Rhinolophus ferrumequinum: one gene and its partner. The protein of the gene in region 2 interacts with the protein of the main gene of each other region in a biochemical or structural test. Links are inferred from orthologs where the notes say so. Each region holds a gene or a part of one and is shown on either strand. Other genes may lie near its edges.

Region 1 (7,344 bases), on a different chromosome or scaffold from region 2:
AAAGTTGCTGGAATAATATCCTCGAAGAGGCAAGAGAGCATAAAGTGTACTGCACACGTGGGGGTTCACCTTGCATAATAAGAGCAGGGATGTGAGTCCTGGAGCAGGATGGGGATGACAGAGTTATTTGGCACATAGAAGCATATGGAAACTCTTTTGGTTGCTTGAATATTTTTAAGAAAATAGGACACAAAGCCATTAACTGAGAGTGAAGATGAAGGTCGAAGTTTTGGAGGATTAAAGAGAGAAGCAGAGTTGAAAATAGATTTCTCAGGTTGCAGAAGAATAGAGCAGGGAAATGTAGAGGAAGTGCCAGGCAACGTTATGAGGTTAACTAATGGTTATGAATTTAAAGTGAGACCAGTCAGCATAGACATAATTGCCAATTTGTAAGAAGCAGGTTTTTAACTTTAAAGATGTAAACATTGCTGGGCAAAGTAGCTTTGTTCAAACTAGTGTTTCCTCAAAAATAAGACCTAGCCGAACAATCAGCTCTAATGCGTCTTTTGGAGCAAAATTTAATATAAGACCCGTTATTGTATTATTATATTATTTATATTATTATATTATATTACATATTATTATGTTATACTGGGTCTTATAGTAAAATAAGATGGGGCCTTACATTAATTTTTGCTCCAAAAAATGCACTAGAGCGGACTGTCCAGCTAGGTCTTATTTTCGGGAAACATGGTATCTTCCCTCAATTTTTCCAACTCTTTAAACAGATCACTTTGGGTATTTTTCTGCCACTAATCAGATGTCACCAAAAGGCTTGAGCAGTCAGGTCAGTAGTTCAGGAGTTTCTAATCTGGCCTCTTCCACCATACCTTCTTTTTTTTTTTTCCTTTCTTCAACCTCTTAAATTTTCTCTCCTATAATTTGGAAAGGATACCCAGCCTGCCTACTTCACTGCCAGCATCAAATGTGCAACCCAGGCTTAAAGCATTGTTATGAGGACCTTGTCTAATAACAGATTTGGGGAAGCTTTTTTTCTACCTCAAAATCCATTCTTAAAGATCCAAACCCCTCATCTGCATTTAAATGTGAATTTGTTTTCCATCTGTTAAGGGGTCAGTTAAACAATATCTGATGGCCCATTATCTGTTTGCCCAACTGCCCTGTCAGTATTGGGGAGAATGCTGCTTTCAAATCACTTTTTGAAATCATCTAGTCTAGCCTGATCCAGTCCTGATTCTAAACTCTCTCCAGTGAACGTGGCAAAGATTATCCAGGATTGCTTCACGCAAGTATCAGTCTGAACAGCACTCAGACCTGGAGGAACCCAAGAAGGAAATGTGAGGAAATGTGCTTTTAGCCCAGCATGTAAATGACTTTACATATACTTAATCCAAACAATTCCTAGATCTATTTGCTCGATTGGGGGTGGAGAGGCGGGAGAAGAGAAGTGGAGAAGTATTCACTATTTCTAGCTGGAAAAGGGACGCAACAAGATGATCCTTAAAAAATGTAATGTCCCAGTAGTCCAGGAATACTCAAGGGGTTTGCAGGTAAAACTGCAAGAGAAACCCACCTCCCACCATGCTGACAGGAGAACCTTTCTCAATAAGCAGCTTCTCCAGGGCTTCTTGGTTGTTACCTGGCCACAGGTCCTCCTGTATTGCCCATTCTCAGTTAGCACACCTAACACTGTTCTTTGTGGGGGATCCTGACCCAGCTGGGCTCTGGTTATCATCTGACAGGTATCAGGACCTCGGGACACTGGAGCCAGGACTACTCCAGTCTTGGAGCTGCTGAGATGCATAGCCTCAGTCTTCACAGGCTGCTGCTGTCAGGGAAGGAGAAAGACAAGCCGGTTAGTCAACCTCTTCCACCAGGGGCTCCAAGGAGGCACGGATTTCTAGGAGGGAGAACACTAAGACATCTGATCTTCCCTGCAATTATTAGGGCTGAAAGGGCACGAGCCACTTGTGCACGAGCACAAGCTATCAAAGCTGCTTTGAACCAAAACGGTGATTTGGATCTGTCAAGGATTTCTTCCAAGGCCTGTTTGAGGGCTGGAAGGAGACAGCCGGACAAACCTCCAAGCCGGGATACTAAGCTCCATGTTACCTGGGCGTCTAAACCTACAATAGTTCTGGTTTTTACCCGCTGCGATGCTTATCCCCACCCTGCCTGCAAACAAAAGACCGAGAATACATCACAGAGAAGTACGTCCCCTTCCCAAGCGAAAAGCAGGGTGCTCCTCCGCGGCTCTCCTTCCACCAGACACAAGGCCTCACAGCAGGCCTTGCTCTTCTCAGCCTTATATCTTTGTAAAAGTCTCCAACAATTAGCAAGTGCACACGAGGATTGGGGATGAGGGGCCCCCGGAGGGGGCGGGGCAGGAGTGCGACCGAGATGTCGATAGATTCCAGCGGGCAGCTGGACTCCCAGCGACCACCGCCCCAGCCCTCGGCGCTAATTACTTTCAAACTCCCCACCCCCTCACTGCGTCTGTTGAATCAGCCAATCAGCGGAGCTCCCGGGCCTCGCGGGGGGCCGCTTCCATGCCAACCGCTGCTGGCCTACGCGCCCGGGGGCCGCATCGCCATGGCGACCCCCTCACCCGACAAGCTCCGGGCGGATGCGCTGCGACCCCCTAGGCGTTCAGGAAAGGGCGGGGCCAACGGGTGGTGGCCCCTGACTCCTCCTCCGCTGTCCTGTCCGGGTGGGCTCGGCGGGCCGTCACCATCAGCACTGCGCCCCTTGTGGCCCGCGCCCCCGGCGTGGCGGGGAGGAAGTCAGTCCCCGCTATGGCCCGGGCTTTGGAAGAGACAGGTTCTGTGAATCGGTTCTCCCAACAGCCGCTCACTCCACCCGCTAACGTCTTTTCCGCCGCCCGCTCCTGAGAACCTTGGCTCGGGAGAGCGACGCGGGGTCCTCGGGGCTGCGCAGGCCGCGGCACCCCGACAGCGCCCGCCGGAGGGCGCCGCGGCTCGCTCCCCTTCTCGGTTCACGCACCTACACTTCCTCCTAGAGACAGGTCAAGAAGCGGCGAGTTGGCCCCACGTTTCAGCCGCGGCCTCCTAATCCATGGTGGCGGCGTGCCTGCGGTCATTTTGGGTCTTTGCGCACCAGAGGTCGCGCCTCGCCGGCCGAGAGTCTTGTGCACGTGTCCTGGCAGGGCGGGAGAGGAGATTTGGGGTTTTATGGTCGCATGCGGTGCTTGCCATCCTCACAAGAGGTCTTCCCCGACGGGTTCCGGCAGCCAGGGCGTGGAGCGGGTCCAGGAACGCGGAGATAGTGGCCCAGGAAGAGGAAGGAACGCGGGTGGCAGCGATGGGGCCTGGGACATTGAAGGGGGCAACAGTCAGGCTCCAAATCGGGGGCTGGGCAGGCTGCCTGCCCACATGGGGAAGTAAATCCAGAGTTGGGGAGGGGATGGCAAGGAAAGGTAGGAAGCACGGGGAGCCTTATATTGAGGGTAGAGATGGGGGAAGGGGCCCTAGCCACGCGGGAAGGGAGGAGAGAGAGGGTCCTTGAAACCAAGCACCTGTTGAGGTGACTGGCAAGCCATGTAAAAGAATCTGTTTTTTTAAATATGTGTGTGTATACATATATATAGTTTATATAATGTGACTGCTTTTGTTTTTAAAAAAAATTTTAAATACCCGTCTCTAAATCTCTAAAGCCCACCTCAAAGGCCATTCAAATGGCCACTTAAAGAAATGGTTATAATCTTCCTTATTTTGAATGGAAATGATTATTAATCTTACCCTCCCCCATCTCTTAAGTGCTTTTTATTAATGTTTTCACCCATCGAGTTGAGTATGCATTATTTTAATATTTAAGGTAAATTTAAATATTCTACAGAAAGTGAGGATGAAAGCATTTGATAGAGTCAGATATTAGTAGGAAGTTGAGAAGCATGTTGGAAATCAGTGCTGGATGCAGGAGTGCAGAAACGGGTCTTGTTCAATATGAAACTATAATAATTGCGTTTATCACCGACTTTCATTCATTGGGAGGCAGCAATCCCCTTGCACCCCTGGATTTCTATGCCTTTGAATATGAAGGCAACCCGGGAACTCGGGTAACATCTAGATTGCTGCAACAGATGAGTCAGAGGCAGGCAGACAGGGACCAAGTGCTCCGCTTCGCAAGGTGCCTCTATTTGGTGGAGGAAAAGAGCCTTTCTGGCCTCCAGCTTCGCGCTGCTTTTGGAAGTCTCTCCGGGAGCCTTCCATCACCAGGCGACATTGTTGTGATTTCTGGAGACACTGAAGGCTTCAGTGGTGCATTACGTCAAGGACTCTGGGGGAGCAAGGCCTGCCAAGAGTCCCGGTTACTTTGGCGGAGACAAGATTTCCCTGCACTCACGTGATCCTCTCTGTGCGTCCTTTTTGACCTGGTTTCCTGGACAAAAATGTCCGAAAACCTCACACTCTACTTTTCTAACAAAACAAAGGAGCCAGTGTAATGTATGTTCCTGGAGCCTGTCGGTTTGATCCTCTTTTCTGAGGTTGAAGCTCCAGTGGGGGAAGGGTAGCGCTGGGCTCCTGCAGGGCAACTCTTTGAAGTTGGGTGTTCTTTACTCAAATCTGGTCAAGACCAGCAGACAAGTACTAAAGTGTCTAGTGTCTCTCTGCTGCCTTTAGTTTGAAAAATGCCTTTATAAAAGAAAATAACCAGGTGGGGCCCTGGGCTTATTTCATACTGCTTTCTCTAACTCCTGTAAACAGCTGCAGCCTACTTCAGTCTTAATACATATAAAATATTATTGTTACCATTATATGTTATCATTTTTAACCTCTCCCCATCCACTTTGTTAGATTTGGCAAAGGGAAATGACATGTGACCTATGATTTTACTCTGCTGCCTTAAAATTCAGTATTGAATCATTACATTCCTCTGGTTAGATTTTAAATTAGTAATTCAGATGAATATTTATATATATTTTTATATGTGTGTGTATTTATGAGTTCAGATGTTTGTATAACTTGTGCAATACTTATGGCTTTCTTGACTTTAAAAAAATCACTAAACATTTGTTTGAGTAATGATTTATGGCATAAAAATAAACTCAGCTGACAAATAGATGCAAAATTTTTATTAAAAAATTAAACAAAAAACTTGGTCTTATAATTAAGAAAAATAGGAGACAGAATAGAACGGACTTTCTCATAAATTATGCATTTTAGTGAAACGCGTAATTATAATTTTGCTATTATAACAAAATCAGGATTAGAACTCAGTTAAGTAGATTTTAAATGTCTGCATGTTTTATGTAAACTATGCATTTGGTATAAATTATATTGAGAAGTGAACAACATAATTATGAATACATCTTTAATGTCTAAAATATTTGGTGTAACTTACATAATAAAACTTTCTTAGCCTAATCTTGGTCAGTATTTACTGCTTGAATGTGCTCCACTAGTGTTGACTTTAGGATTGATTTCCATAATAAGGATGACAGCTGAATTCTTTACTACGGATTGTTTAAATCCAATAATCCTATTAAAATTGACTCCTCCTCCTTCCAAATTACAATTCAAAGACAATCTTTTCTGTTTGCCAGCAATTACCTGGCATTTCAGAAAATGTTATTACTTCTGTTACATTTGCTCATTGTAGCTAGTAATTAACGTCCTGTTCAGACATGTCAGTTTTCATTAATTTGTGTGAAATCAAGTTGATTTTCATCATAGGGCTGAAAAAGATGAAAAAGTAGAAGAGCCAATTTTTTTTTTAAGGACAGAGAGCGGTCTACTTAGAGATATATTTTGTCTGTTCAGGGGCATGTTCTGCCATTTTAAGTTATACGTTTAATTTCAGAACATAGCTATGTGGTAAGATGAGGAACAGATTTTGAGGGTGATGGGCGATTTGTGACATTTTAGCTCCAGGGACAATGATGACCAACAGATCAAGTAAGTCCAGTTTGAGAAGCAACTGAAAGTTTGCTGGGTTAGGAAGCATATACCCTCAGGTGGTGCAAAGTGGAGCCCTTAGTACGTAACAGATGAAATAAGTTTCCATTAAAATTTGTAGTGACTTTTCTTTGAGCAAATATAGTTTTAATACATACATGAAAGTAGCCAAAGTTTCCTAGTCATTCACTCATTTTACTAATATTATTTGAACATCCATCTTATACCAGGCAGTAGCTGGGGATGGGATTAAAATTAAAAATGATCCCTGCCTTCAAGGAGCTTTGTGTTCCCTGCAAGAAGAAGGTAAACACATACCGTGTTTCCCCGAAAATAAGACCTAGCCGGACAATCAGCTCGAATGCGTCATTTAGAGCAAAATTAATATAAGACCGGGTCTTACATTGATGTTTGCTCCAAAAGACGCATTCGAGCTGATTGTCCGGCTAGGTCTTATTTTCAGGAAAACGGGTAGTTAGAGTGCAGCATAATTAGTGTTTATTTCATAGGGGTGGGAGACACAGATGTATAAACGGAGCAGTTGGAGCCTAGAGATACGGAATAACATATGTTGCTGTGGAGATTTGGAAGCAGTATCCAGATCTGACAATAAACATGATTAGAGTAAAAAAAATTGACAGGGCAGATGGGATAGTCCATATACAGTGTATCCTAGAAATGGGGGAGCCCAAAGCACAAGAATTTTCAGCTGTGTTTATCTAGTACCTTCCAAGGAGAGTAATAAACTGTGATTTCCAAAAATACCCCTCAAGATTGTCTCCTGGCTCTGGGACAGACTCCACAGCAACGATTTCATATAGAAGTCAACCTCCCAAGAGCGTGGATGAGAGGAAGACAGTTCTGGTGACTTCAGTTACTATGAGTCAGTCCGTAATAATGTGCTCAAGTAGAGGTGCACTACTAAAATCAGATCCCTGTGACTGCAGGGTTGAGATCTCTGGCAGTAGCTGCCTCAAGATTCTGCCCCAAGGGAAAAATAAGTTTCAGTGGAATAAAGGAGCCATTATGGTTTAAACATTTTGAAAAGCTTTAAGTTGCCAGACCTTTACTGAAAATTTATTAGAGGGAGTCAAGAACCTGGATTTTATACAATCTTTCAGAGGTCTAAAATTCATCTGAGGACTCATATGTTGATATATTCATTGCATCATTAAAGTTAGCTGTCATTTATTAGTTATATCTTTTAAATTAATAGTCCTGTATATGCCAGTTTCTCTGTGCAAATCAATTATTGTATCGTCAGTTCTACGACACAGTTGATTCCATAAAATGGATTTCCTGTGTTTTACATTTATCTCTATTTCAATCTCTAATTGAAAATATGGAATTTCCACATCACCTACCTGAGTCTGATTGACTGGATGACTCCCATATTTGAGGACAGGCTCATGTCCTGTTCACTCCAGCAACCATTTATTAATGTGGTCGGCTTGTTAATTTTTTTTGT
Region 2 (6,318 bases):
GGCACGAACTGGGTTCTCATTTCTCATGCTGGGTCCCTCCCTAAGCCTGAGGCCAAGCATTTTGTAAGTTACCGCTCTCTGTAAGTTACAGACCCGGGAGCCAGAGTACTAACTCGGGCCGGTAACTAACTGTCCCGAGCCCGAGGGCCTAACTGCATGTGCAAAGAAGGATCTCTGGCTTGTGCGCCCGGCTCCCAGACGGCTCTCGGCCACCTCCCCCCGCCCTCCGCCTGCCAGCTCCCCCCCGCACCCCCGACGTTGTCTACGTGTTCCGGCGGCAGGGCGCTCCTACAGCTTCGGGGGTTAGTTCTTCAAACCGCCATTTCATTACGCAAAGTCCCGTCTTAGGGCCACCCAAGAAATCTAAGACCTGTAGGCATTTTAAAAATCCTTAATTTGGCAGGGCAGCTACCTCGGGTTACGTTAGAGTGATCTTTGTGAATTCACTTAGAAACATCAATTTTGTAATGCCACCAAAAGTGCATTTGGTTCCCCCCCACACACACCCCATGTCCATCACCTAATAGAGTGGCAAAATCTCAGGTGATTCAAATCTACATCGGCTGTTTTGCCTCACTGAAAGCTGTACTCATTCGCGCTGCACTGTCAGGGGCAGTTAGTTACGACTCTGCCTAAACTCCATCACGACCTTTTACAGAAGAAATTGGCCAAACCTTGTTTGAACGAGGTCTTTCGGTGAATGTGAAGCATGCTGCAGTCTGAGAGGACCGGCGCAGCGCAGAGGCTGGAATTAGAAACCACTCCAAGGCCTTCGTTCAGTGCCTCAGTTCCCTTTCAAGTTCACGAAACTTTTTGTCAACAATTCAATCACGACACGTTTTATTTGTAAAAGTGCAAGGAACTTTCAGGACATTTTCTTAAGGATTTTTGATGCATCCTGTGGGGTTTTCAGTCAGTAAGACCGCAATAGAGGTGGGGAAAAGCTTCCTGAAATTATTGAACAAAGAACTAATCCGTGTGGGGTGGAGGGGTGGGAGGGGCATAGGGTATCGTCGAATAGCGGCGGGCGAGTCCCTATAAATACTGGGATGGCTGATTGTTTCTCATTAGTGTTGGAGAATTGGCTTTGCTTACCCATGGCTCGCACGAAGCAGACGGCGCGCAAGTCCACGGGCGGGAAGGCCCCGCGGAAGCAGCTGGCCACCAAGGCGGCCCGCAAGAGCGCGCCGGCCACCGGCGGCGTCAAGAAGCCGCACCGCTACCGGCCGGGCACGGTGGCGCTGCGCGAGATCCGGCGCTACCAGAAGTCCACGGAGCTGCTGATCCGCAAACTGCCCTTCCAGCGGCTGGTCCGCGAGATCGCGCAGGACTTCAAGACGGACCTGCGCTTCCAGAGCTCGGCCGTGATGGCGCTGCAGGAGGCGTGCGAGGCGTACCTGGTGGGGCTGTTCGAGGACACCAACCTGTGCGCCATCCACGCCAAGCGCGTCACCATCATGCCCAAGGACATCCAGCTCGCGCGCCGCATCCGCGGGGAGCGGGCGTAAGTCTCCTTCCTCAGTTAGCATCCCCTGCCCCCAAAGGCTCTTTTCAGAGCCCCTCAATTGTCAGCGAAAAAGAGCTGTTAATTCTGAAAAGTACACGGCATCCTTATATGAAGTGTGGTGTGTCCTTGGTGACTAAGTCACACCACTGCTGCCCACTTGTGCTCCACATCGGCCGTCTGCTTCTCCTGTGACCCTAACAACCGTCCCGCTTGCCGAGTCCCTCATACTCTGCAGTGAGGAGCTGTTTATGGAGAGGCATTACAATGACTCGGTCATTTGAAAATCCAAACAACTTCGACTGCAAGAAGTGATTGAAGGAAAACTGGCCCAAACCTTACAGAAGACTTAACTGGGTTATGCAAATGGGAATCAGTTAAATAGGTAGAATATTCCAGCGCCATTACTTCAGAAATAGGCCTCTTGATTTCTTGTAACACAAGTGTTGCCATGAGTGTTTAAAATCTTGACGGCTTTTTTGTTTTCCAATTTTAGTATACGTGCTGCAGAAGCGAGTGCACCTTTTCTGTTCCGATGTAATGTTTGCAAGTGTATGCTGTGGGCTTTCCATGTGTGACTGGGGAATGGGTGACGATGACCTGTAAGCTGTCATGTAAAATGAGTTCCCAATAGTTCTGAGACAATCTAGAAATACTTGTGCAAGTGTTTTTAAAATATATTTGTCTGTGATTGTTTTGTTTTGTTTTTTTCTATGGAGAATCAGACTAGGGATGAAATCCAGCATGCCGTTTTAAATCTTCCTTGTTTCCACACAATTCTGAGTTTTCTAACCAAACATGGCTGCGTCCCATATTTCCACTTGTTTAGTTTACTCTCGTGCTCTTCGTATTACATGACTGTCAGTGCCTCATTTTGCTGCTTACCTTTTTTGGGTATACACCCTAACTTTAGGAGGTAGCAGTTCTATGAGGGCAGTTTTTCTCCTGATCTCTGGCAGATCAGCCACCTGGGCCTTCCCTTCCTTCCCGTGTCTGGATTTGCCCTTCCAGAGAGAGGCTTATATCTAAACCATTGGCTCCTTGGAAAGCTTTTTGAAAAGTCTCAGAATTGATTCAGAAAAGTCTGATGAGGCCAAAAGCCTCTGATTACAAATCAGTCTGGAGCTCCTGTAGTGGCTCTCAGGTGTAGGGACAACTTGGTGCTGCTTATTCCAAGTTTCAAAGGTTGTTCTCTCCCCATCCCTTTGAGGACCTTCCCATCATACAGACCCAGGACCAGGAGGTCTACCTTCAAACATCTGCCGACAGTGAGCTCTATAACCTTTGGCAAGTCACGCATCTTGTCTCTAGGCCTTAGCTGACAGAGCTGTAAAGTGTGATGAATGAATGGAAATCTGTACAGCTTCCTGAGATTAGTTCCTGGCACTTTGTAAATGCTCAGTGTATATTACCTCTTATTGTTACACTTCCCTCTCCTGCACCTTTAAGCATGGAGGGATTCCCCCCGAATCTTCTAAATGTTTTGTGATTAAAACAATGAGAATTGATTGGTTAGAACACTTTCTTGTTAAAACCTTTTCTTTAGTTCTTGATTTGCATTGTTCTGAAAGAGGCAAGCTTGTGGCGATATGCCACGATCTGTGTCTATGTGGATGCATTCAAAACACAGCATAGGTGCCAGGTAGTAAATATTGTAGGTTTTGCCGGCCACGTATGATCTCTGTCACGGTCTTTTTCTAACACAATTTAAAAATCTAAAAACCACCTTTGAGTAAGGACCATACAAAAATAGGCCTCTGTCCAGTTTGGTCATAGTTGACTATAGTTTCAATTCCAGGAACTCCTAGAGAGAAGTGTGTTGGCTGCTTCACCAGTGTTTCACAGGGAAGAACTAAGTACCGTCAACTGCATTAGAGATCAAAATCATGATTTGATCTCCCTTAGCATCTAGGCCAGACACAAAATCCGATCAACCCCTTGCCCTACTTTCGTTCCAAATAAATAGCAAACTTCATCTTCCATTCCAACCTCAAGATCATTGCCTCAGTTCCCTTGAATGTTAATGTTTTCCTGTATTTTCCTGAATTCAGGAAATTCCCAGTGCACCGTTTTTATAGTAGCCAATTATTTTTCTAAAATATAGGTCTATTATCACTTAATAATTGATGTCTCCTGTCTGCTCAGCGAAGAGGGTGTTCCTGACTGTAATTTGTTAAATACTGACAGGGATTGAGGAGTTTGAAGGAAGACATTGGGAAAAGCAGGAAAACCTGACAAAGTCCCATGGGAGCTAAATAGATTGTGCTTTTGTGAGCTACTGGAAGCCCTTGAAAAATTTTTAACAGGTTTCAGAGGTTTTCTGACACATTATCTGGGCTAAGCATTTTTCATCCTTGTTTTAATAGATTTGCCTAGGAACTAAAGAGAGAACACATCTCAATCAAAACCATACAAATTAAAGTTTGAATTTGAATCCAGGTCGTTGGAAACTGAAGACAAAGCAATTGTTATTTCTCCTGCTGCAAGGTAGAAGTCACTCTGGCAACTGAACATTTCCAAGATGGAAACTACAGACACTGGCACTGAAACACCTAAGAAGCAGAACCGGTTTTTAAAGTCATGTCTGTGTGGCTGGTGTGGGGCTGTAGGCAAGCAGGCGCTCTGTGCGTGTGTTACTTGCTACAGTTAGAAACAAAGTTTATGCCCAAAAGAAGGAGCCTAGGGTCTTTCCTCCTGCAAAAATCAAAGACCAAACTTAGAGAGAAAGCCTTTTAACACACGTTGACTTGATACTTAGTAGACATTTGGTGCAAGATGCAACTAAGTAGCAGGATGCCCAAAGCCCGTGGATTCCTATGGAAAGCTGAAGGGATTTTTAAAAAATATCTTTCATCAGTTGCGCGTGATTCATGAAAACACAGACAAGTATGTGAACCTGGAAGCTGTTTTCCACCTTTGGAGCTTCAAAGCGTCAGATTCTGTACCGTTGATTTCGGAATTTAATCAGATGTTTGGGAGTAAGAAACACAATTTGGGAGTCCAACCGCGAAAGGCGGCCGCCTGAGGGCGGCGGATCCGACGCCCCACCAATCACAGCGCAGCCCCGGCTTATATAAGCCGTAGCCCGAGCCTGGCAGTACTGCGAACTCGCTCTTTGGATTTTGGGTCTCTTTCTCTGGTAGCTCCTCCCATCGCCATGTCGGAAACCGCTCCTGCTGAGACGGCCGCCCCGGCGCCTGTAGAGAAGGCGCCAACAAAGAAGAAGGCGACCAAGAAGGCAGCGGGCGGGGCCGCCAAGCGTAAGGCTTCGGGCCCCCCGGTGTCCGAGCTCATCACCAAGGCGGTGGCCGCCTCCAAGGAGCGCAGCGGCGTGTCGCTGGCCGCGCTCAAGAAGGCGCTGGCTGCCGCCGGCTACGACGTGGACAAGAACAACAGCCGCATCAAGCTGGGTCTCAAGACCCTGGTGAGCAAGGGCACCCTGGTGCAGACTAAGGGCACCGGCGCTTCGGGCTCCTTCAAGCTCAACAAGAAGGCGGCCTCCGGCGAGACGAAGCCGAAACCCAAGAGGGCTGGCGCCGCCAAACCCAGGAAGCCCGCAGGGTCCACTCCCAAAAAGCCCAAGAAGGCCGCGGGGACAAAGAAAGCCGTGAAGAAGACCCCCAAGAAAGTAAAGAAGCCTGCTACCGCCGGTGTCAAAAAGGTGGCCAAGAGCCCCAAGAAGGCCAAGGCTGCTGCGAAGCCTAAGAAGGCCGCCAAGAGCCCAGCCAAGCCCAAGGCGGTTAAGCCTAAAGCGGCCAAACCCAAAGCCGCCAAGCCCAAATCGGCAAAGCCCAAGGCCACCAAGGCCAAGAAGGCAGCTCCGAAAAAGAAGTAGGAAGCTGGTCTTTAAAAAGGCGACAAAACCCAAAGGCTCTTTTCAGAGCCACCCAGAGATCTCTGGAAACAGCTGTGCACTACAGACACCTACAGCAGACCTGGGGGTGTTGACTTGACCATTCACCAAGCAACCCACTACGATTGTAGTTGTTTCGCTTTTAGGTATCCTTGGTACTTAGACTGAAAGTGACAAGTAACCCAGTGTGACCACAGGGCTAAAGCCATAGATGGGTTATTGCCAGCCCCTTCTGTAAAAACTATCCGAAGATCTCATCTGTACTAATATTTTTTTAACTTTGAACACGTGCTTATTTACAAAGGAACATTTAAAAACCCCGCGCTACATTCTGATTTGTCAGTTTTCAGTTGATGGGTAGGAAGTTTAATGTGATATATTTTTGCGCCACCAAATTTAACTTAATGTTTTTTCACGTTTGCCACAAGGTCGTCAATGCACTTGATTGACCTCACTGAACTGATTGAGGAGTGGCTCCCGGATACTGAATCTGTCTGAAATAGCTACTTCCTGAAACCGCTTGCCAAGCTAAATTTCCAGTGCACACTGCTGATAGATAAATTAGGAAACTGGAGTCCCAGCTCTTCACTACAAACATACGGGCCTCTGAAGTCTCCATCTCCTCCCTATCTCGTTCTCTGTGGAGCACTCTCTACGGGGCGGCTAAGCGCTTCACTTTTAACGCTGGGCGTCGGCTGCACTAACCGTCTTAAATTACTTGTGACAAAGTATCTCAGTATCCATTTTAATTGGCCATATTAAGTGTTTAACTTGTAGTTTCAAAATGGATAGTTTCACCTCTATCGGATGTTTAACTACTGACACCTACCGACCAACTCTGCAGTAAGTCACTTTCAAACAACGGCCACGAGCGCTTTCAGTGAAAAAAGGTGGGTGGCTCTGAAAAGAGCCTTTGTTTCGGACTGGACCTCATGGAGCGGCCGGCGAGTAAAGTCTCTTC

Evidence for each region. The genes of interacting proteins can lie anywhere in the genome.
Region 1: of the proteins of H1-5 (region 2) and CCNA1, one has a biochemical effect on the other in vitro, tested with the Homo sapiens proteins (2 studies listed by BioGRID). The link is inferred for Rhinolophus ferrumequinum from reciprocal best matches to the Homo sapiens genes H1-5 and CCNA1.

Annotation. Positions count from the first base shown.
Region 1 is NC_046287.1:93,158,473-93,165,816, forward strand, and holds the start of CCNA1 (cyclin-A1), read right to left. Parts: upstream 3,102-7,344; 5' UTR 2,965-3,101; intron 2,861-2,964; exon of another isoform or gene 2,445-2,860; intron 2,405-2,444; exon of another isoform or gene 2,161-2,404; intron 1,790-2,160; exon of another isoform or gene 1,787-1,789; 5' UTR 1,766-1,786; coding exon 1,601-1,765; intron 1-1,600. UniProt on the Homo sapiens protein: May be involved in the control of the cell cycle at the G1/S (start) and G2/M (mitosis) transitions. May primarily function in the control of the germline meiotic cell cycle and additionally in the control of mitotic cell cycle in some somatic cells.
Region 2 is NC_046305.1:1,999,185-2,005,502, forward strand, and holds H1-5 (histone H1.5), read left to right. Parts: upstream 1-4,357; 5' UTR 4,358-4,661; coding exon 4,662-5,339; 3' UTR 5,340-5,719; downstream 5,720-6,318. Other genes in the region: uncharacterized protein LOC117014580, read left to right, coding at 1-80, 1,007-1,508; histone H2A type 1, read right to left, coding at 6,318-6,318. UniProt on the Homo sapiens protein: Histone H1 protein binds to linker DNA between nucleosomes forming the macromolecular structure known as the chromatin fiber. Histones H1 are necessary for the condensation of nucleosome chains into higher-order structured fibers.